Linked DNA regions of Oryzias latipes. The main gene of each other region encodes a partner of the protein of the gene in region 2 in a complex. Links are inferred from orthologs where the notes say so. Each region holds a gene or a part of one and is shown on either strand. Other genes may lie near its edges. The genes, in order: cacnb1, dihydropyridine-sensitive L-type skeletal muscle calcium channel subunit alpha-1 and cacnb2.

Region 1 (7,679 bases), on a different chromosome or scaffold from region 2:
GTTTTAACTGGCTTGCATTTCCTTAGGATTCCATAAGTGGGTTAATGTAAGCAAAATGTACTAATCAATGAGTTATTAATTGCATAAAAGTAAAAAAAAGCTTTCATTTAGGATGGCAAACCCTTTACATTCCAGTCAAAGCAGTGGAGTTGGTTGTGAATGTTCCAGAAACTCTGGTACCCCTCACATCTGGTAAACGGGCCAGCAACTGCGTGGTGTTTCTGTGTGCAGAACATGGCTGTGTTTTTTCACAAACTCTGCCAGTAGTTCCGAGTCTTGATGGAAGTCTGCTGATGACACTTGAAGACAAGGTCACCTGACTTCACATCTGACTGCATGCTGTACCAACCTGAAGGCGCGCCATCGCCAGATAGATGGTGCTGCTCATCCATTAAGCGATGCTCATGGCTGTTTGAATGATGATGATGGAATGACTTACTGGTAAAATCAGCTTTTTACATCCCTAGAATGCTGAAATTGATGCCACATTGAAAAGGATTTTCTTTTAGAATTTTTGTTGTTTTGCTTTTAAGTAAGACAATGAACACAGTCAGGTCATTATGTGAAAAAAAACCCTAAATAAAGTGTTCACCACTCCAATACAATTGCCTCCGTATCCTGAAAATCTGTAAAGTGAAACACTTTTTACAACATCCTCTAAGTTTTTCACAGTATCCCTTACTTATCGTGAGTGCCGGGTATATTTACACTTTATTCAATTTGTGTTTTTGCTTTTTAGGAGAAACCTATCTTTTAAAATAGACATAGCTGAGTCAGAAAATTATTTGCTGATTTAAGATTATTGCATAAATAAGTGTTTATAGTGAAAGAAATATGTGAAAAACTATTTTTTTTCTAAAAAACATATTAAAAAAAAATTTTTATTGCTTTTTAATGAACCTAACTACACTAATGGCTGTCTGTTTTTGAATGTTTTGTTATCCAATAGGTGACAGACATGATGCAGAAAGCTCTCTTTGATTTTCTGAAACACAAGTTTGAAGGAAGGTAAAAGAAAAAAAAAAAGGCTTCAACAATGCATGACCTGTAATGTTATACGTTTATCCTGTAAAGTGCTGGATCTCTGTTTCAGAATATCCATCACGCGGGTGACAGCAGACATCTCTCTGGCCAAACGTTCAGTCCTGAACAACCCCAGCAAACACACCATCATCGAGCGCTCCAGCACTCGCTCCAGCCTGGGTAAGAAACCTCGCTTCGGTGACCAGACGTCTTCTGGCAGTGAAAACTTTTATAAAATGAAACTCTGGAAAATTAAAGATGTTTGTTCATTGTGTCGTGTTGCTGAACATCTTTTCCTGTCTCTTCCATATCCCTGTTTCTTTAGGTACACTTTTTTTTAAAGTATAAGACTCCAAACAGCTTATTCAAATAGCAAGAAAGACATTTTTTATGTGTTTCTGATTCTCACAAACCAACTTCAGCACAAATCTACATTTATTATTTTGGCTTTTGTAGCTGCATCTTGCAGTTTGACTTGATTGCTCAGGCACAGGGGAATTTGTGATTAAAAATTGGAGAAATTAGAACATTTTGGGAGGAGCTGATGTTAGATCAACATGCCAAAAAGGGATTCTTCGGAGCCTTGAATCCAACTTGTTATAACTCATCTAAGGACCTAGCCATAATAGGGTAGACACAGCATAGGATGTACCTCATCAAAAGACCTGTAAGCTTTTACAACTCCTCTGATCGAGTCTGATTTAGGCCTTTTCTCTCTTTTCATCTTGTCTCTTGTGCCCTTCAACCATCCTCCTTACTCTGCCAAACCTTTCCTCTTCCTCCTCCTCCTTCTCTGTCTTGTGATTCAGACGTACTGGGTATGTATGCTCTCCGTGCAATGAAACAATGCAGCTTCTCTCCCTCTTCTTTTCGCTTTTCCCCCCCTAACTATATTCATCATGTACTCATACATTGTTTGTCTGTTTGCCTGTCAGTTTCTCTGTTCCTCATACCTCAGAGTGACAGCCTGCAGTCTGGAACAAAAAGGAAAGAATTACGAAACCCGCGCAGGCAGAGATCTGTGGGCGACTGCTTGCTGCTGTTCAAACCACATATTGCAATTACCCCTAAAAGTAGTCTGGATACAGTACGTCTTTAGTAAGACTCTTGAATGGCCCCTATACGAGCTGGACTTTACCTTTTATATACTGTTAAAACTTGAGTTATTGCAGTTGTTATCCATATTTACTTACCTTAAAAGTTCCCATTTCTTGTCACTTGGACTGACTGACTGGACAGCTTTAATTTGGAGTCCTCCTGGAGGCTTCTGAAATATGGGGCCCCTGTCGATTAAACGGCCTGTTATCTGTCATCACTGCTGAGTTGGCACAACTTTGGAGGTGCTGATGTTTGACCCCCAGGGCAAGGGGCACTCTGGCTGTCAGTTTAACCCTGGCTGTAGACATCGACATCCAGAATCAGAACCGGAAGTCTGCCCCATATCGCTCGAAAAAAAACTGGCAAACCCTGCCAGTTCCAGTTTGGTAATGCTTTATAATAATCATCTATTATAAATCATTATAAATCATCTATTATAAATCATGAATAAACTGTTAGTTAATGGGTTATAAATAACAGTCATCAGTGTATCAATGTTGGAAATGTCCCTCCTTTCTTAACGGTTAATAAATGAGGAATGTTTTCCACTTTGAAACAACATCCCAGTAACAGATAAGCCATTACCTAATACTTAACAAATCGTTGTCGAGAAATTTATTAAATGCTTGTTCATGATCAATTTTTAGTTATAAAGGCACATTTATAGATCCTTAACAAAGTTATTTATAACTCGTTAACTTACAGTTTTGTTAATAATTTACCAAGCTATAACCCATAGTTATTATAAAGTTTTACCTAGAATATTTCCAGTTTTAAGCTGTAATGCATGTTATTTTTACAATTCTGATCACTTCTGGGTTAAGGTTAAGGTAAGTTGTATGTTTTCCACTTCCGGCAGATGATGTCAGGCGCCATTTTTTTCCCTCTCGATGAATGTTGGAACTACGCTTGAAATGCAAAAGCTCTGGTTGGCTGTGGCTGAGGAACAATGAAAACAAAAAGTCCTCCGTCTAGAATGGCTATCCTGATGCAATAATTTTGCTGTGCCTATTTGTGCTAACAAAAAAACGTTTTCTCCCCCCATGCTGTATGTTTTTTTTATCTGTATTTTGTTTGTTTCTGTTTTGGTTACATGGTGAAGAATTGTGCCCTCATTGTAAGCTATTTCAAGTACCACAGGCATCTCATTTCTAAGTGCCTCCTTCCTTTACAACCTCAAATTAGAAATGATCAGAAGCACTTAAGAGAATCTGAAATGTCTGGAGGTGGCAACTGAATGAAGATGCTCCAGTGCTCCATTTAGCTCTGAATAAATGGAACTTAAAACTGTGGTCCAACCTGATTTACATCCTTGAAAGCTTGTGGGCTTTTGTCATTGTTTTTAAAAAAAATCCAAACGTGCACGGTGAGGAACTAACATGTTCGTTTAATAACTATGCAGAAAGTAAGAGAATTTAACTGCTGTTCAAAGCTGCATCTCCTTAAAGATAAAAGCAGCCTGCTTTTTAATAACTTTTTGTTTGTTTATTTATTTGTGTCTCTTTCCTGTGCTGTCAGCTGAGGTGCAGAGTGAGATTGAGCGCATCTTCGAGCTGGCCCGAACCCTGCAGCTCGTTGCTTTGGATGCAGACACCATCAACCACCCCACTCAGCTGGCAAAGACCTCTCTGGCTCCCATCATCGTCTATATCAAAATAGCATCTCCCAAGGTAAACCTTCATGTCTGGTATTAATTTGTAGGGATGGGTACCATTTGGAATTTCATCTGGTGCCAAACTGGTGCTGTTGAAATTGTTCCGGTGCTCAAACGAGAGCTTCAAGAATGGGGATAAAAAACACCCAAAACAAATTTACATATGATGAAGCAGCGTCACGGGTTGAAGAAGAGCACTTGAGTTTGCCTAATATGCTTTATTTCATTCTTTCTGACAGTGTGTACTGCAGCCCTGTATTTGTTTTCACACACGGCAAAGTAAAAATGTATTTTATTATTTTTTTTTTTGTACTTCGAGTGGATTTTTTTTTTAATAAACTTTATTATTCAACACAAACGGAACAAATATGTATGACAGGAACAATAGTCATAACAACAACAATGTCAGGGGATGGTACATGTATTACAAAAAGATTACAAATGCTATGCATTGAAAATATTCAGAGACAGACAGTTTTCATAAATATGTACGGCCTTTTTGTTTAAACTATTAGAAATAGTATGTAAATAAGATTCTAATTCTTTAATTATTAAAGGGAAAAAAAGTTGTGATGAAGAAAACTTTGATTTATGAATATGAAATTTACCAAATATTATAATTAGATTAATTGCCAATTTTACGTTTGATCTTATATTTTTTTCGTGTAGGACAAATATGATATGTTCAAATTTCATCTGATGTTGTGAATCTAAATTATAATTTATAAAACATGCACAATCTTTCCAAAGTTTTTTAGTAGTATTACAATTCCAAAATAGGTGACTGATTGTTTCTGGGTGTTCTTTACAAAAGGTACAGTTGGGGTCAATAGTCTTCTTATATCTGATCATGTATTGATTAGTGGGATAGATTCTATGTAGGAGTTTGTAGGAGACGTCTCTCATCTTGTTATTAATTAATAATTTCTGATGCAGGGTCCAAACATTTTTCCACGGCAAGTCAGGAATAAATTTTCTCCAATAAAAAACAGCAGAGGGAACAGAAATTACATTTTGCTGAAACAGGGCACGTATGATCTTGTTATTTTTTCGAGCACAGTTGAAACAAGATTTTCCAATAGTGGTGTCACTTAGAGATATGAAGGGAATATTTGCATCAAGTACAGTATTTTTAAAGAGTTCACAGAGTAAAAATGTATTTTAGCACTCATCGCCACAACGTTGTATGCATCACGCTCATCCATCAGGTTGCTGAATTAGAATCTTACGGACAAACTTTTGCTGGAACGCTTCACCTACCCCAATGGCCACGCCCCATTCTTAAATGAGCTTGGCTTCAAGCTCCTGTTTTTATGCGGTACTATTTGAGTTGTTGCTGTTGACTCGCTGCAGGTTCTCCAGAGGCTCATTAAATCCAGAGGAAAGTCTCAGGCGAAACATCTAAACGTTCAGATGGTTGCAGCAGACAAGCTGGCTCAATGTCCACCTGTGAGTCCTGATTTAGGAATTATACTTTATTTGGACATTTTTGATTCTCTGCTTCTGCAACACCAACTAAGACTTGCTTTGTTTGTGGCACAGGAACTGTTTGACATCATCCTGGATGAGAACCAGCTGGAGGACGCATGCGAACACCTGGCTGACTACCTGGAGGCTTATTGGAAGGCAACACACCCACCTAGCAGCAACCCTCCCAACCCCCTACTCAACCGTACTATGGCCACGGCGGCCCTCGCTGCGTCTCCCGAGCCCGTCTCCAACCTGCAGGTACAGGTGCTCACCTCCCTGCGCAGAAACATGGATCTGTGGCCTGACTTGGACGGTGCTGTAGCCAGTGAGGGAAAAGAGGAAGAGCACACTGTCTGAAGCACGGCGTTGCGGTGTGGGATGGGCACTCCGGCAACCTGAACCGACCTCTGCAGCCTGCTCTCGCTAGACAGAAGGAGTAGTGCAATAAAGCCCGGTTTCTGCTGTTATGAAGCCGAGAAGAATCACACACATGTGCAAAAATACAGGGACAGCTAGATGAAGAACAGATCTGTAGTCTCGATCCAAACCGGTGGACTGTTTAAAACTGTGAAGGCAACACCTCAAACGACTGAACTTAGTACCTTTGCCCCTGGGGCCCCGTTCCCTTTCACCAGTCAGAGGTAAAATAATATCTGCCCCCCACTCCCCTCTACGTGTCAGTGGCCTCATTTTTTCAGCTCCCCTCCTTCTCTGAAAGGCCAAATCCAGTTTGCTGTCCTCCTCTGCGTTGCCATGGTACTGCCCCTGAAAACAGCAAGTCATTTCCTGCTCTTCAGATAGAAAAGCTCAAACATTTCTAACTGACCAGCATAATCGATTAACAATGCTACTAATAGACAGCTAGTCACCTTTAATTCTGCTTCTAAGTCAGGATTGTTTGCTTATTAACATACTTGTGTTGCACTGTTTTACACAATCGGTAAAAAAAAAAAAAGCAATTGTAAAGTAGAACATAAAGGACAGTATTTCCATTTAGAACAGTTTTAGAGTGAAAATCATGAAGGGGGGGGGGGTAAAAAAAAAAAGTTTTTAGGTTTAGTAATGACCTTTTCCAACCACCAGATGGCAGTGTTGTTACTGTTCTGTTAACCATATCAAACAAGAACATTAAGGTAATCCATCCATCCTCTGAATCCCTTTCAGGGTCACAGGTCTGCTGGAAATAACCCAGCTACTGTCCATAACTAGTCGCCAGTCCTTTTCACAGACTCACACATGTTCATCTAGGGACAGCTTAGAGACACAAACTTACCTATAAAGCATTTTTTTTTGGATGCTTTCTCTGCAGTTCCTAAAGAAAATATGCACAGGGAGACCGTGCAAATTCCACACAGAAAGATCCAGCTGAGATTTGAACCAGGATTTTCAAACATACTTGATATGTTTTCAAACATATGAAACATGATTTTGGTGCTTGTGTGTGTATGTGTGGTTTTTTTTTGTGGGATCATAGCACTTTTGATTGCACAGCTGCCCTAATGTGCCATTGTTGTGTGTTGCTATGTTTGCTAACAATGCTGACTTACCTCTGCTGTTTTGGCTCTCTGCATGGCTTCTGTGTGGCATGGCCGTGACTCGCTGCAGGGCCAGTACCTGGTGCACGGTGAGCACAAGAGGGAAGGTGTCTTAACAGAATCCGGCGGCAGCAGCACTCTGCGTGACTACAAGAGCGACCTGGGAGGAAAGCCTCAGCAGCATCACCAACAGCAGGCGTGCCTGCGCTCGTCCCGCGGCCAGCTTCGAGGGGGGAGCAGCCGTGGCCTGTCACGGCAAGACACCTTCGACTCCGAGACCCAGGGAAGCCGGGACTCGGCCTACACCGAGGCCGGGGACTCTTGCATGGACATTGAGACTGATCCGTACGAAGAGCCGGAGCCTTACCGAAGTGGTGGGGGCAGCCGCCTCCACCTGGCTCAGCATCATGGCCGACAGGCCTCCTGGGAGGACGAAGGTGCAGAGCCAGACCAGGAGAACCTGAACCACCCTCCAATGCCGAGCCAGACGCAGCCGCATGGACGTGCCAAGCTGAAGGAGCGCTACTGCCAGGACCCCGTGGACACAGGAGCCAACATAAGCCGCAACAAGAACCAGGACGACTGGGGGAGGGACGTGTACATCCGCTGAACCCTCACCTTTCACCTTTCTACAGAGAAAAAGGGAGCCACAGACTGAGAACAGAAATGTGGGGTTGGGGAAAAGGGCAGATTCCTTGAGATGTTAACCCTTCAACACCGGAGACGTCGTCTTCGACACCTAAATAACACACACTCTTTCACATATCGCAACTCTACGATCGTTTACGCAATCAGCGTGAATCGTTTGATTGTGACGCTGAGAAAAGCAGGTTTCCATATCAGCTGTGCACCGTTATGCGACACTTAACATTATACAGTTGAGAACTGAACTGAGTGAC
Region 2 (7,679 bases):
GAGGTTTTAGTCAGTTCTACAGAAATAGAATACTGACATTTGTTCATGAATGCATGAAAGTTATTATAGATGTATTCATTTATCAGCCACCTACATACAAGGTGGAGTTCTATGCAAAATTTCCAGTTTAAGTATCTTACTGATTGCCTGTATACATAATTTTTTTGAGCAGGACAGTCGATGCATGTCTTGTACCTTCAGTCCTTTGGCTCGGTTGATGGCTCTGAGAGGTCTCAGCACTCTCAGCACCCTGAGAATCTTGACCACAGAAATTGCACTGGACCTGCAGGCAGTACATAGTAAAAGCAATAATCATACATGTGTGTTTTAAAAATAAAAAATAAAAACATGTATTTCAGTGAAAAGTGACAACAGTGTCTTGTGTGATCCTGAAACTCACTCCATTCCCATGGACAGGAGCGACACTGTGACCACAATCAGATCCAGGATGTTGAAAGAATTACGACAGAACGAGCCTTCATGCATGAAAGCGCCGTACACCGTCATCTGTCCGTGACACAATAAAATAAAGTTACACTTTATATATAATTTTAGGTCTGCTTTTGTCATTCGGTTTGTTAGATAAAGAATAAACCAGAAACATTTGGATAGTTTCATCTTTATTTAATCACTACCACTATTACTACTACCTGCCTTTTCTTTTGTGTGAAATTTAGATTTGTTCAACCAAACACACAAAGTCAATAAAATACTAACTCCGTATATTAGTAAAACTAAATCTCTATAAATAAACATGTTATATTGTAATACCGGTGATATTCATTCCTCTAAGGTTAAAACTGCAGGATTCGCTGAACTGTTTATTTTTTTATTTTAAAAATGAAAACTGAGTAGCAACAAAAAGAGACGACACAAAACAACTGATCTCAAAATAGTTGTTGTTGCTTGTTGACCTTACCTTGAGCACAATCTCAATGGTAAACATGGTTGTGAAAACAATGTCAGCATAAGCCAAGATCTTTAAAAAAAAGAACAAAAACTAGGTTAAGTTCAGAGCTCAGCCTCTTGCATCCATTGTTGTCCAACATGCTGAGTCTGACTCGGCTTCCACCTCGTTTCTGTAGGACCTTGGATCGATGGGGTCCTCAGCTGCCAGCGATATGGAGGACAGCAGGATGAAAAGTAGAATCAAGTTGGTGAAGGACGAAGCGTTGATGATCTTGTAGCACAGTTTACGGAACCTGGATTGCAAAGTACAGACATGAGCTAGACAGAATTTACACATCTTTATCTTTGAAACACTTCTTTTATTATCTTACTTGTTCTGAGGGCCAAAAATATAAAACGAACTGGCTTCAGGTAATGGAACCGCTTCTTCCTTCAGCTGCAGGTCTGCCATTGGTCGAGGCCGAGGGCTTAGGGGGATTGCAGGTTCTTCCTCCTCATCATCACCTAAAAAGCAGAAAAACAGACTGCAGAACAATACCAGCACTTCAACTTGCATTGAATAAAACACTAAATCAAAGATTGGGGAGAGGATTTTCAGACTGTACGAATTATGATGGTTGTCACTCAATGGACTTAAAAACAGCTTTAAAATTCTCAGCACACAACCCAAGGAGCTGGTTGAGATCAACTGCCCTGATTTTTACCTGTCAGCAACATTAAAACAATAAATGAAGAGGAAGACAAATGAACTGGTTTACCTGGAAAATCATCAGGTGGAAATGGATCTTTCACTTCATTGACATTGGACTCAAATTCATCGACTTTAAGCTGAAAACAAAAAACAGTATAAAGTTATAATCCTTTAGCACAATCTACAGTGGTATGAGAAAGTTTGGGCACCCCTGATAATTTTCAAAATTTTTCTTCATAAATCATTGGTTGTTTGGATCATTAATTTCAGTGAAATATATCATATAGCAGATGAACACAGTGATACTTGAGAAGTGAAATGAAGTTTATTGGATTTAAAGAAACTGTGTTTTAATTACTTAAACAAAAATAGGCAGGTGCGTAAATTTGGGCACCCCAACAGAGACATGCCATCAATATTTAGTAGATCCTCCTTTTGCAGAAATGACAGCCTCCAATCGCTTCCTATAACTTTCAATAAGGGCCTGGATTCTGGTTGAAGGTATTTTGGACCGCCCGCTTTAAATCACACCACAGATTTTCAATAATATTCAGGTCTGGGGACTGAGATGGCCATTCCAGAACATTGTACTTGTTCCTCTGCATGAATGTCTTTGTAGAATTAGAGCAGTGTTTAGGGTCATTGTCTTGTTGAAGTATCCAGCCCCGGCGCAACTTCAACTTTGTCATTGATTCTTGAACATTGTTTGTAAGAACCTGCTGATACTGACTGGAATCCATGCGACCTTCAACTTTGACAAGATTTCCAGTACCTGCACTGGCCACACAGCCCCAAAGCATGATGGAACCGCCACCAAATTTGACTGTGGATAGTAAGTGTTTGTCTTGGAATGCTGTGTTCTCTGTTTGCCAAGCATACCGCCCCTTGTTATGTCCAAATAACTTCATTTTAGTTTCATCAGTCCACAGCACCTTATTCCAAAATGAAGCTGGCTTATCCAAATGTGCTTTAGCATACCTCAAGCGACTCTGTTTATGGCATGTGCGCAGAAAAGGCTTCTTCCGCATTACTCTTCCATACAGCATCTCCTTGTGCAAAGTGCGCTGAATGGTTGACCGATGCACAGTGACACCGTCTGCGGCCAGATCACGTTGTAGGTCTTTGGAGCTGGTCTGTGGGTTGAGTTTGATTGTTCTCACCAACCTTCGCCTCTGCCTATCTGAGATTTTTCTGGGCCGGCAACTCCGGGCCTTTGCTTGAACTGTGCCTGAACTTCCATTTTCTCACTATATTCCTCACAGTGGAAATTGAGAGCTGAAATCTCTAAGCAAGCTTTTTGGATCCTTCACCTAAACTATGATGATGAAATCTGACAGCTGTTTTGAGTATGGAAGCGATTCTGTAGCATAATTAAAAATAAAAGTCAAAACCAGAAATGCTTTTTCATTTTCAAAATGACGCTGCATTTTTTGACCCAAAGTTAAAATGAAAAGGCATTCCTTCAAAATGCTTTTTCCTTTTACAACCATCACAAAGCCGTCTCCTCTGCTGCTAACACAAAGCTCCACTGCTCCAAGCATCTCTGTGTCTCTTAGCAGCCGGACAGACGGAGAAATCAGTGACGTCATCGCCCTGCCTCCTCGCTGGAAATGCTTTTTCGAATTGAATATTTGCGACAATGTTCGCAGGGTGGATGTTAAAATGAAAATGCAATCCCCTCTTTGTATTTTCGTTTTTAATTATGACACAGAATAAGCGGAATTAAAGTTTAAAATGAAAAAGCATTTTGGTGGATTGCTTTTTCATTTTAATTTTGAGTCATTTGATGGAGTTACATTTTGAAAATGAAAAAGCATTACTGTTAATCCATTTTAATTGTCAAATTAGACATTTCTAAATGAATTTTGCTACACATTTACCAGAGAACTTTTTGAAAATGAAATGTCAAATACCATTTTCTTTATCGTTTTAATTAAGTGACAGAATAATCAATGTCGAAGAAGAAACTGAAAAAGCATTTTAGCGGATTGTTTTTCATTTTAATTTTGAGTCAAAAGTTCATTTTGAAAATGAAAAAGCATTTCTGGTTTTGACTTTTATTTTTAATTATGCTACAGAATCGCTTCCATAATAAACTTCATTTGCTTTCTCAAATATCACTGTGTTTTGTCTGCTATATTATATATTTAATTGAAATTGATGATCCAAACAACCAATGATTTGTGAAGAAAAATCTTGAAAATTATCAGGGGTGCCCAAACTTTTTCATACCACTGTATGTTTTACAACATCACCCAACACCAACCTTGGCGGTGGTGGGCATGCCCTCCAACTTGGCCCTCTGTTCTGCCAGTTTCTTAGCAATCCTTTCTCTTTCTTCGTCCGTCTTCTCTGGCATTTTGGACCTGGGTGTAAATCCCAAAAATAAATGAAATTTGCCAATGCAAAAACATAACTCTTCCTTTAACTTGTGTTTTAATTGTTTAACCACCTCAGCAGCTTCTTCTTCATCTTCTCTTCTGCCTTTTCCTTCTGAGCTGAAGTCAGACTCTCAGCCTCTGCCAGGTTGTCAACGGCGATGGCCAAGAAGACATTCAGGAGGATATCTGGTTACACTGAGTTCAGGAAAATTAGAACCGTGGCCATCAAAAAAGCTGCCATGCTTATCATTTTTAAGTTTGAAAAGAGATTTATGACTAATTCTCAGGATACAATTTCCACAGACGAAAAGGATGATGAAAAAAATGGAAACCAGGATGCCAGGTATGACAGGCCCTCCGTAAGCCATAATACCATTGTTCATAATGATGGTCCATTCTTCTCCAGTCAGAATCTGAGGGAAAATTACATATTAAAAAACATTTGCAAACTAAAATGACTTTTGACATTAAACTCTATCTAAAAGATCTACTCCAGTGAAATTAATGTTTTTGGTGTTTTTAACATGTCCTTGTGGCATTTTTCTCATGAAGGACACATATATATGAAGACAACTAAGCTCTAATTTGTTTTTCTTATTATTTCTTTATTCAAATAATTGGGAATCAGGAGCAAATGAAAAAATTGCCATTTGATAAAGAGCTTATTTGTGATGTAGAAAATATAATGGGCGGGCCACAAGCTCCCTGCTCCGAACTCTCAGAAAACAGGGAGGGGAAGGGGGGCGGAGTTTCTTCACACCAACAGACCATCCCTCAACTCAGAGGCGAATTTCTAATGAACTACTGCTGCTCTGCAGACAACGTCCTAGAAAACGATACAGCTTTTTAAATTTTGGCAAAAATGTGCAAAACCATAATTAAAAGACCACTGAGAACACTTCAACAATAGATAAAAAAGATTTTTGGAGTGGGGACTTTAAAACCAACAAAATAGTGTTCAATGTCAAAACACTGTCAGTCTTCCTCACCTGAAATACACTGATCAGTGCCTGAGGGAAGTTGTCAAAGTTACTGCGAGCGGGTCGGTTGTGATCAAAGTTGAATTTCCCTCCAAACACCTGCATTCCCAGAAGGGAGAAGATGACAATAAAGAGAAAGAGGAGGAGGAGAAGGGAGGCGATGGAGCGGACAGAGTTGAGAAGAGAGGCCACAAAATTGCTCAGAGAAGTCCAGTACCTAAAAATTGTAAACAGATGTTACATATTAACACATCAAAGTATAAAGGGAAAACTGTAGAGGAGTCTGAACATGTTCAACTTCTGCTAAAATGTCAAAGAGTTCGACTTACTTAGTAACTTTGAGGATCCTTAGGAGCCGTATGCACCTGAGGACAGAGAAACCGAGCGGAGCTACTGCTCCTGCAGACAGCATGATCATCTCCAGGATGCCGCACAGCACCACAAAGAAGTCAAAGCGATTAAACAAGGACATGAAGTATGCTCTTGGTCCGAGAGCATACAACTTTACAGACATCTCAAGGACAAAAAGCACCAGCAGTCCACGACTGGCCACATCTGTTGGGATGAAAGAGGACAAGAACAACATGAAACTGAGATGGGAGGAGATGAAAAGGGAAAAAGGTGTCCGGTAGTCCAAACACCAACCTTGCAGAGTAGTAAGAGATTTAGGTTGATGATGATACTCTGTGGCAATAGTCAGAGTGTTGAGGAAGACGAGGAACATCACCAGCCAGTAAAAGCCCTTCGTCTTCACATACACCAGACATTTCATCCTGAAAAAACGATTCCAACGACGGGCCAGGCGGCTAAACACAGAAAAAAAGCAGCTCATTGTGGGGCTTTTTTTGAGTTGGTCTATAATATTCCTGCTCTCCCAGTGATGCACACATTACTTCTGTCTTTAAAAGACATCAATGACTTTAAGTTTTTCTGTTCTAATTCTGTGTTGTTATTGTTGTTGAAGTAACTAACATATCAATTGTCCAATAACAGATAATCCAAACAGGGATTTGGTATCATCTGCTTCTATCCTCTCACTGCTGCAATGAATAATTTATCTTCTCTGCCTAATACCAGACGTAAGTTTGTCAAATATGCTACATTTGGTATTAACATATGTCTTTTAATTTCTAACAGATGTTCAGTGACTTTGTATTCACGCACTTCCTTATTCCTAACTGCTGCAATGACTAACTTATTTCCTTTGCAGATTGTTGCCCTACTGACCTTTGTTTCACTGAAGGACAGCCTTTGTAATTTTCCAAACTAGGATTTTTTTATATCTCTACTGTCTCCTTTTGTTAGCTGATTACAGGGACTCCATCAAAATTCCTTCAATGTAATCGGTTGGTCACTCATACAAGACATTAGTATATAAGTGAGATAATCGGTCATTATTTGAATTATCTGGATTGAACTGGATTAGAAATATTACATAGAAAAATGTTTTGTTTGATGTTTTTGGTGTTTTTATCTAATATAACCTTGGTTCTGAACTGGAGCGTTGTTAAAAAAAAGGGGGAAACAAGAATCTAATTGATTTTGTATTCTAACTTGTGTATGATCACAGAACAGAGGACTCACTAGTAGTAGATGATGCGACTTTTGCCCTCCAAATCATACAGGCTGTCTGTTTCAGAGTCTCCGTTGGTCAAAGGTAGGAGACCTGAAAGACCAAGACAACCGTTTTTAATCTGATGCAGTGTTTGCATTAGCAACAAGGGTGCTGCTGTTTGCCTACAGATCTGACCTTTGCCCTCCCTGTCTGCATCCAGGACTTCAGCATGGGTGATCCATTCCATGTATCCATGGAGGTCCTCGTCCAGCTGCTGTCGCTCCCGCAGTTTCTGGAACTCTCCTCTTGACCTGGCTTTCTCTCGCTCTTTAGTGAACTCTCTGAGTGGAATCGAGTGGTAAAAAAGCATGATTCATTTGTTTGACTGGACAACCCACAGATCAGAACAGTTAAGAAAAAAATAACAGCAGTCTTACCCGCTGAGCACGCCCAGAACGAGATTGAGCACGAAGAAGGAACCAACAAGAATGAGAGGAACAAAATACACCCATGGCCATTCATTTCCTATGGCATCATTAACCTGAGAAGATATTTAAGAACATCAGCCAGGAGCTCACGACTCACATCAAACCGAACACTAGTAAAAACCTGTACTAACCCAGTAGAGGACCTTGGTCCATCCCTCCATGGTGATACACTGGTACACAGTCAGCATTGCAAAACCAATGTTATCAAAGTGGGTGATACCATTGTTGGGACCCTCCCATCCAGGGCGACACTCTGAGCCGTTGATGGAGCAGCGGCGTCCGTTACCAGCCTGAGCGCACGGAGCAGGCAGCTCCCCTTCCGCTGTGGCATAGATGTCTGTGCACAAAAGAAAACAACAAACACTGAAAACAGGACCAGAGTGAGCATGTTGAGGGAAGTTCTTCTATACTTACTTGTGCCTGTGTAGTAGCAGGTCTTGTGCATTTTGCACTTAAAGAGCTCCAGCCCCATGATGGCATAGATGGTGACCAACAAAAAGACCAGCAGGGCAATGTGCACCAAAGGCAGTGTGGCTTTGAGGATGGAGTTCATGACCACCTGTAGGCCTTGAAAAGGGGTTATTTAAATTAAATGTAAATCTCAGTAAGCTTTGATTGCAAAGAACATCCATATGGTTTAGATAGTACAAAAAAAGCAGGGCCAGTTTTTGGGAA
Region 3 (7,679 bases), on a different chromosome or scaffold from region 2:
AAATGGGCTTCATCCAGGAGGAACTGGGGGAAGGCTGGGGGCGCGAGACAAGCCAGGGATGAGGTCCACGGCCAAGGACAGGAGCTGATTGGCCTGTCCAGTGTATTCTGTTCGTCACAAATAAGCTCCAATTCAAACTGCATTCTTACTCCTGATTTACATCAATTTGAAAAAAAAGAAAAACTCAGAAATACAATTTTAAGCTGATATATATATATATATATGTGTGTGTGTGTGTGTGTGTGTGTGTGCGCGCGCGCGTGTGTGCGTGTCAGAAAATGCCACAAAAACATGTTAAAACCACCAAAAACACGATTTTCATGGGAGTCGTTCTATAAGGTAAAACCAAACAAAAAATGTTTTGGGGGGGTTTCTGAGGTTTTTGTTTGGTTTTTCAGTTTTTCTGTCTGGCTGTGTTTTTAGCTAAAGAATAAAGCTAAACTTCCTAATCTGCTGCAGGCGGTGCGGTTGTTGAAGAAAGGCGGGGTTTTGGTGTACAGCACCTGCACCGTGACTCTGGCTGAGAACGAGGAGCAGGTCGCCTGGGCCTTGAGTTCATTCCCCTGCCTCACACTGCAGCAACAGGTGAGATGCTTTTTCTTCCCCTCAGGTTCTTAACTCCACACACACTAGAGGGACTCCCCTGAATCCTGTCTCTGCCTATCTCAGGAGCCTCACATCGGCGCAGAGGGCATGCTGGGAGCGGGTTTGTCATGCGAGCAGCTGCGTCTCCTCCAGAGGTTCAGTCCGGAGTTGAGCTGGGATCAGACAGACGCCTCCGTCCCGCTCCAGTGCAGGGCAGACAGGGACACTATTGGGTTTTTTATTGCCAAGTTTCTGAAAAGCTGACCGCAGGCGTGTGCTTTTGGGAACAAACGTGTTTATATTGCAACGGCGCGGCGTGCTTTGACGTGCTGGCACTGACAAAGAGCTCTCTGCTGTTTACAGGATCTGCCTCTTAACATCTGCGGCCCATGTAGGGATGAGCTTTTAAAAAACACACAGAGGCAAGGAGAATGAATGGGGGCTGGAAAATGCAGCAATGCTTGTGTCGCCATAACAACAGTGACGACACTGCTGCCATGGTGACGGTGGATTCTCCGGATCAGGAAGTAGTGAGCAGAAAGAGGTCATGAGAGGTATTAACAATTTAGCATCTTTAGCAGCACAGGAGACGAGAGGGAGGGGTAATTAATTAGTCGAGTGATGCATCTGCCTGAACCACTGCAGTATCCAGGAGGAAGTCACGTTTTTTCACAATAAAAGCATGTGTTATTGAAATCTTGAGCTGTAAATGCCTTTTTTGTATCATTTAGAAGCACCTTATGCATATTATACATTACTTTCTAGTTCTTAATATTGTTGCCATCAGTCAACATGAATTCATTTTCCACATTTTCAGTGTATTTACCAATAGAATCTAGAAAAAAATCTGCTGTCAGTTATTACTTGTTAATGCAAAAGTGATTTTTCATCCAAATATGAACAACATAAAACCTATTTTTGGAACGCTCTGGACTAAATAATTGAAAAACATTTCCTCCAATTTTCAAAATTAAAGCTTTGTTAAAATATTTAAAAAATAGCGATGACCTTGCAGATGTTACCAATTGAGTGGAAAACACCAATCAACACTCATAGCCAATAGCTGACTAAACAGATCTTAAAACATTTAACTGACACCATTAGCTCATAAAGATGAACTAATGGTGTTAAGATCTGTTCAGTCAGCTGTTCTCCACTAATGTTTAAGATGTGTAGTGAGTTTCTCCGTGAGAATATAGGCGTAACACATGGCTTATAGGAGCACATTCATTCATCTTCTTCCCTTTTATCCCTTTTCGGGGTCACAGGGCTGCTGGAGCCTATCCCGGCCACAAATGGGCGAAGGGAGGGGACACCAGTCACCAGGTCACCAGTCTGTCACAGGGTCACACATATCACACACCCATGCACACTCACACCTATGGACAATTTGGAGTGACCAATTAACCTATGAAGTATGTTTTTGGACGGTGGGAGGAAGCCAGAGTCCCCGGAGAGAACCAACGCATGCACGGGGAGAACATGCAAACTCCACACACAAAGGTCCCCCATTGATGTTCTGTTTCAGGTCCCCCACCCGGGACTTCTTGCTGTGAGGCAAGAGCGCTAACCACTGTGCCACCGTGCATCAATGGCGCTCTTATTATCACTTCTGCTATCCCAGGCACTTTAACGTTGGGAGTTGGGTCATCTAGACCCACTAGACAGTGCTCTGAACCTTTTTTCTTCAATGATTTGTGATCTTCACTGGTGTCCATGGATTACATGAAATCTTTCCACCTTTATCCACCTTTGTCATGGTAGGTAGAACACGTCAAAGTAAGGGTGGGGTCATCTAAGATAGCGCAAGGGTTAAAGGAGCACATGACTGACCAAATCAGTCAGCCTTTCTTGATGTCTTGATTTCTTTTCCATTTTTCTCTTCTTTGGCAGTGCCTTCTCGTGAAGCCCATTTGTGTGTGTGTGTGTGAAGACTCCTCTTCCCATTTTAGACGCATCTCCCGGTATTGCCATTCATCTCAGTGTTGTCATGACGACTCAGGCGGCGGGCGGGCGGGTCTACCTCAATTTTTCAGCAGCTTCTGGTGACTATTTATAGAAGCTGCATCCCGCCTGTTTCTGGGCGTTCTGACAAAGCACACATCCGACGACTGTGTCATCAGGTTTATTTTGTTGCCAACTTTATTCTTTATGTAACTTTATGTACATACACATGTACACTGTTAAAAATCCGTAGCGCTACAAATGTAGCATAGAAATGGGGGGTTTGGAATGACACTTTTGGGGCATATAACAAAACAAAAAACTGTCGGGTCGGTGTGTACGGTAACCTAAGCAGAACCAGGCATGGTTTAGGTTTTTTTAGTGTCTGCGTCCACCTGCTCCTGGCTCTGCAGGTGGTGGTGATGATGATGGTGGTGATGATAGAGACAAAATCAATCAAAGCTCTCAGAATATCCCAAACCCACTGATGTGCTATAAATAGATCCTGTGTGTTAGTCAGTGGAGGAGGGAGATGGCAGAAAGCTTGAATGAAACATGTTCAAGTGGTAAAAAATTTAATCATTTTAAAGCTTATTCTGTAAATTTATCTTTTAATGTAAAAAAAAAAAATCATTCATAACGTTCTTTGAACAGAGAAGAAGAGAGGGAATCAAGTGGAAATGAAACATTCATTAAAAAAGGGGATTGGTAAGAGGAGAGCCGCAGTGCAGTTCTGCAGACAGACCTACAGAGAGTGGAGAATCATATCAAACCACTTTCACTTGAAAACCAGTGTTAATCAGTAAGAATAAAGGGTGTAACGATGCTAGAAAAAGGGTTTTTGGATCCACTTTAAAGGGCAGTTTCGGCATGTCAGACAGAGAATTTTGCTTTGAACTTGAGCGTCTTGTAAGGCAAGACTAAGGTCCCAAAAGAGGCCTTTGAAAACTAAAGTTTGAATCCTGGGAAACTAAAGAAGAAAAAAGAAATTAAAGGAGTAGTCTGACAACTTGGGAAGACCACTTTTCTGCTGGGATGAGACATCTTAAACGGTTGTAATCTATGAGGCTACAGTCAGCAGCTGCTCACATGCAGCTAAGCTTTCCAATTATAATGTGATCATCTGTAGAGTAGATTTATAATGCAGTAAAGAAATACAATCTAATATCAGCGGGAGTTTTTTTTTTTTTTTTTCTGGTCTTAGCACAGCTTTCCGTCACATTTATTATTCAAACAGGACACCAGTCTCAATCTAGTTACTGCATCAGCAACCCTGGAACTAAAGTCCTGCTCCAAATACATGGAGATTCTTGAACTTTGATTGAAAGGCTGTGTCACACAGCCACAATGAAAATTGGTCATACACAAATATACGAGGAAAAGGTGAGAAAAGTTGTGGACTTCACGTAAAATTTTCTCAGATATATCACACGTGAACCACGTTGAAACCATGGAAGAAGTACGAATACATCCGGCAAAGAACACGTAAATCATTGTAAGAGCCATTTCTGGCCCAAAACTCATGTGTTACGTAATTCTAACGTGATGTAAAATTTATACTTGCAGAAAAATCAGTTAGACTTAAGTGGAAAGGTCGTGGAAAGCCGCAAACTTTCTTATGCATCTTGCAAAAATCACACACAATTGTGTAAAGATTTAAGCAGTAATTGTGTAAAAAACTACATAAAATACGCATAAACTGCTGAACAGCTTAAAACCGAATTCACATAAAGACCTGTTGGTTGAAACCCTTGACGGACAAACGCAATAAACACTTATTACGTATATCACGCATGTGTTCCGCATGTGGAAAAGGCACAACATGACAAAATGTACTTAGTGGCTGTGTGACACGGCTTGAAAATGAGTTCTTTTAAAGGTGCAATTTGTGATTTACAATTGTTTTGATGGACACGGTTTATTTATATTCCTTTTTCGGGTAAAAAAATAATTCAGAAAAAGCCAAAAACATGCTGCAGACCCTTTCAAAATAAAGTAGCCCATATGTCTCTTCAGCACAACTTAGGTTCAGTTTCGTAAACCGTGTAAAATCGGAGCGAGTGAATTTCCCAAATTGCCAAACTAATCTCTGAATACAAACTAGGTCAGCGGATAAACCATTGCAGTAGTCTAAAGGGGGGAAAAAATTCAAGTGGTAGCGAGCAAAAACAAAGAATATCGATAAAAATGATCAAAATTGTTTATGCTAATCACAGAAAGCACAGCTCACAACAGAAAAAAATCTGCTTTTCTGTCATGCTTTATCAAACACAGGTTCAAAGAATGCATATTTGAGAATATTCACGCATATCCAGGCATAAACAAAGTCTATGCATAGATACACACATGTATGTTTATATTTTCATGGTCAAAATCCTGCAAACAGCAGCTTTTACAAAGACGTGGACATAAATAGGGCGTTGTGCCGCTTAAGGGGATAGCAGAACAAAGGAAGAACAGAACAGAGTTTGGTCTGGACCACTCCCCCGCCTCGCCCCTTTTTGAGGGGGGCCACCGCTCAGTCCTTCTCCCTGCCGCGGTCATAGTAGTGGTGGTGGTCGCGTGTCGGCCGGTGGTGGTGGTGGGAGCGCTGCTTGTTGCGTTCGTTGTGGTCCTGCTCGCGCTCTTTGGAGCGCTGCTGTCCCGTGCCATGGCCGCCTTCCTCTGCCCCGCTGCGGTGGTGGTGGTGGTGGTGATGGTGGTTGTGGTCCCGACTGGGCAACGGCTCATAACGCTGTTGCCTCTGGGGGTGGCCTTCCCCAACGTCCACATCGTCCTCCTCCTCTTCCTCGTCCCGGTGGTGCGGCTGCACCCGTGGCTCATTGTGAGCCGAGTTTTTGCTTTTGCGGCTGTCAGGAGTCTCTGAGTCCAACGTTTCCTGCCGAGAGAGGCCCCGGGCCCTGCCGCTGTGGTGGTGATGATGATGATGGTTGTGTTGCTCAGTTCTGGAGGAAGACGACCTGTGGTGGATGTGCTGGGCTCTTTTGGAAGACTCTGTCCTGAGGGGCCTGTCTTCCTCCTCTTCTTCTTCCGCCTCCTCCTCCTCCTCCTCGTTTCCCTCCCCGTCTGCCTCCACGTCTGCATCCGCCTGCTCCTGACTCTGCTGGTGGTGATGATGATGGTGGTGGTGGTGATGATGGTGCTGATAGTCTTCCTTGGAGCTCTTCCTCTCAGCTGGCGCTCTGTCTCCTTTCTGCTCCGTGCTGTTGCTCTGGAGCGACAACACAACCGTCAGCAAACGGAAAGAAACCAACAAAAACCAACAAACGAAATCACCGCACACTCAAAAACTCATTTTCCTATAAAGTCACACACAGACACACACAGAGGTAAATCAGACCCAAAGAAGACTCGAGTTTGGTCTTGGAGGCATGCAGAGCTTCACCCTTCAACACACACTTACCAAACTAGCAAATACAAGCTCATTCCTGCTCTTCATCATTCTCAGCATTGTCTTCCTCTACAGTCTTACATTTCCCGTTTTGAGTGCAGGGGAGGGCAGAGGTACAAGTTTTAAACACACTTTTACACTAAAATGTTTTATCATAGGGTGAATATCACAAAGGTAGACAAAATGATAAATAAACACATTTTTTTCATGACTATGATTATGCCGTTTTTAGACCAAATCAAAAAGTCGTCTAGGACGTAGTTTCTGCAGAGCGGCAATAGTTCCTTCGAAATTTGCCTCCGAGTTGTGGGCAGGACCGTCAGAGCGGCGCAACCCCATCGTTGTTAGCGGGAGTTTTTAGGCCCACCCAGCTTATTTTTTACAACACATATAAGTTATTTATTGAACAGATTCACAACAATTAGAATAAACAAATACTCTGGAATGCAATTTGGAGCTTCATTTTCTTTATATATGTCCTCCATCATCAGAAAAAAATCCACGATGTTCATCAGAGTGGGTATTTAACTGCTTTGTATTACTCTGCCATTCATGAACATTTATATACTAAACAGGACCGTTTTTGACTTCCACTCTAGAAGGTCTTTCTAAAGAAAGGCCTTTCTTATGCTAGGGGCTTGAATCTTTACGATTTGGAGCAACTATAATGTCAAGAAGACAGGATTATTTTCTTTCATTTATTTTCTAATCAAATCATAAATTAACCTGTTTTAATATATCTATGTATTCTTTTGTCTTTATTGCTGAAAATTGCTTGAAATAAACCAATCGATCTCCTCTAGTACCAACTTGTGAGTATAAATGTGTATTTTTTTAATTATTTTTTCCTTTAGACTTATTTCTTTTTATTTATGTTGTCATTTAATTCTATGCGTTTCTGTGTAATTATTCCTTCTGTCATAAAAAAAATAGTAACAGTTTAAGCATTTGGATGAAGATATTCATTACTCTGGACTTTTAGTACTTGGAAAATATACGATAAAATAGCACTATCACTGGTTTCCCAGAATTCCCTTTGTGCACACACCTGTACCTGCACTCCGGAGTTGGGGGCCTGGCTGGAGGGCAGTGCGGCGGTGGGCTGCTTTGTTAGCTGTGGATCGGGCGGGCTGTTACTGCTGCTGCTGGTGGGATGTGTGCTCTTCCAGTACGCCTCCAGGTAATCTGCCATGTGCTCGCAGGCATCCTCCAGCTGGTTCTCGTCCAGGATGATGTCAAACATCTCCTGGAAGAGCGAGATCGTTTAAAGAAAAGGAGAAAAATCCCCCCCAAAAAACTCAGTTTTAAGCTGCAAAAGAGGCCTACAATGATCTTTCTGATGCATACACAAAATGTCAGAGCTATATTTAAACGAACGGCCCGCAGAGTTAATAAAACACCGCTAGCTATTAATTTTCAGGAAACTTTAAATGGTAATTCCCTCAAGAAATTGGCTTAAATTAAGCTTGAACTTTTCCCATCCTGAGGGTGCTCACTTCGTTTTCTAAAATGTTAATTAATCGGATTACAGAAGAATGAAAATAGAACTGTCTGGAATTCTGAAGCTTTGACCTCAAGAGAAAGTAGAAAAAAAATGATTTTAAAAAGACTAAGGCTCTAAATGAGAACAATTGGACTTTTACGCAAAATTTAAGGCTTTAACCGTGCAAAAACGTTTTTCCCTGGAAGAAGAACACTTTGAGGAGCTGATTGATCAAAGTGTCTCCAGTTGACCTGAACAAATCAAAGAAACCCTGCA

Evidence for each region.
Region 1: dihydropyridine-sensitive L-type skeletal muscle calcium channel subunit alpha-1 (region 2) and cacnb1 share a complex: the UniProt entries of both Homo sapiens proteins name them as parts of the calcium channel complex. The link is inferred for Oryzias latipes from reciprocal best matches to the Homo sapiens genes CACNA1S and CACNB1.
Region 3: dihydropyridine-sensitive L-type skeletal muscle calcium channel subunit alpha-1 (region 2) and cacnb2 share a complex: the UniProt entries of both Homo sapiens proteins name them as parts of the calcium channel complex. The link is inferred for Oryzias latipes from reciprocal best matches to the Homo sapiens genes CACNA1S and CACNB2.

Annotation. Positions count from the first base shown.
Region 1 is NC_019866.2:5,367,364-5,375,042, reverse strand, and holds part of cacnb1 (voltage-dependent L-type calcium channel subunit beta-1), read left to right. Parts: intron 1-949; coding exon 950-1,008; intron 1,009-1,093; coding exon 1,094-1,203; intron 1,204-1,832; coding exon 1,833-1,841; intron 1,842-3,639; coding exon 3,640-3,791; intron 3,792-5,128; coding exon 5,129-5,224; intron 5,225-5,317; coding exon 5,318-5,503; intron 5,504-6,850; coding exon 6,851-7,390; 3' UTR 7,391-7,679. UniProt on the Homo sapiens protein: Regulatory subunit of L-type calcium channels. Regulates the activity of L-type calcium channels that contain CACNA1A as pore-forming subunit.
Region 2 is NC_019865.2:11,943,984-11,951,662, forward strand, and holds part of dihydropyridine-sensitive L-type skeletal muscle calcium channel subunit alpha-1, read right to left. Parts: intron 7,572-7,679; coding exon 7,419-7,571; intron 7,342-7,418; coding exon 7,136-7,341; intron 7,058-7,135; coding exon 6,954-7,057; intron 6,858-6,953; coding exon 6,712-6,857; intron 6,628-6,711; coding exon 6,546-6,627; intron 5,768-6,545; coding exon 5,607-5,767; intron 5,517-5,606; coding exon 5,291-5,516; intron 5,179-5,290; coding exon 4,971-5,178; intron 4,395-4,970; coding exon 4,274-4,394; intron 4,168-4,273; coding exon 4,053-4,167; intron 3,967-4,052; coding exon 3,867-3,966; intron 1,738-3,866; coding exon 1,668-1,737; intron 1,414-1,667; coding exon 1,281-1,413; intron 1,203-1,280; coding exon 1,073-1,202; intron 980-1,072; coding exon 920-979; intron 508-919; coding exon 401-507; intron 284-400; coding exon 196-283; intron 1-195. UniProt on the Homo sapiens protein: Pore-forming, alpha-1S subunit of the voltage-gated calcium channel that gives rise to L-type calcium currents in skeletal muscle.
Region 3 is NC_019878.2:20,086,488-20,094,166, forward strand, and holds the end of cacnb2 (voltage-dependent L-type calcium channel subunit beta-2), read right to left. Parts: intron 7,167-7,679; coding exon 6,975-7,166; intron 5,741-6,974; coding exon 5,048-5,740; 3' UTR 2,695-5,047; downstream 1-2,694. Other genes in the region: putative methyltransferase NSUN6, read left to right, coding at 460-585, 670-849. UniProt on the Homo sapiens protein: Beta subunit of voltage-dependent calcium channels which contributes to the function of the calcium channel by increasing peak calcium current. Plays a role in shifting voltage dependencies of activation and inactivation of the channel.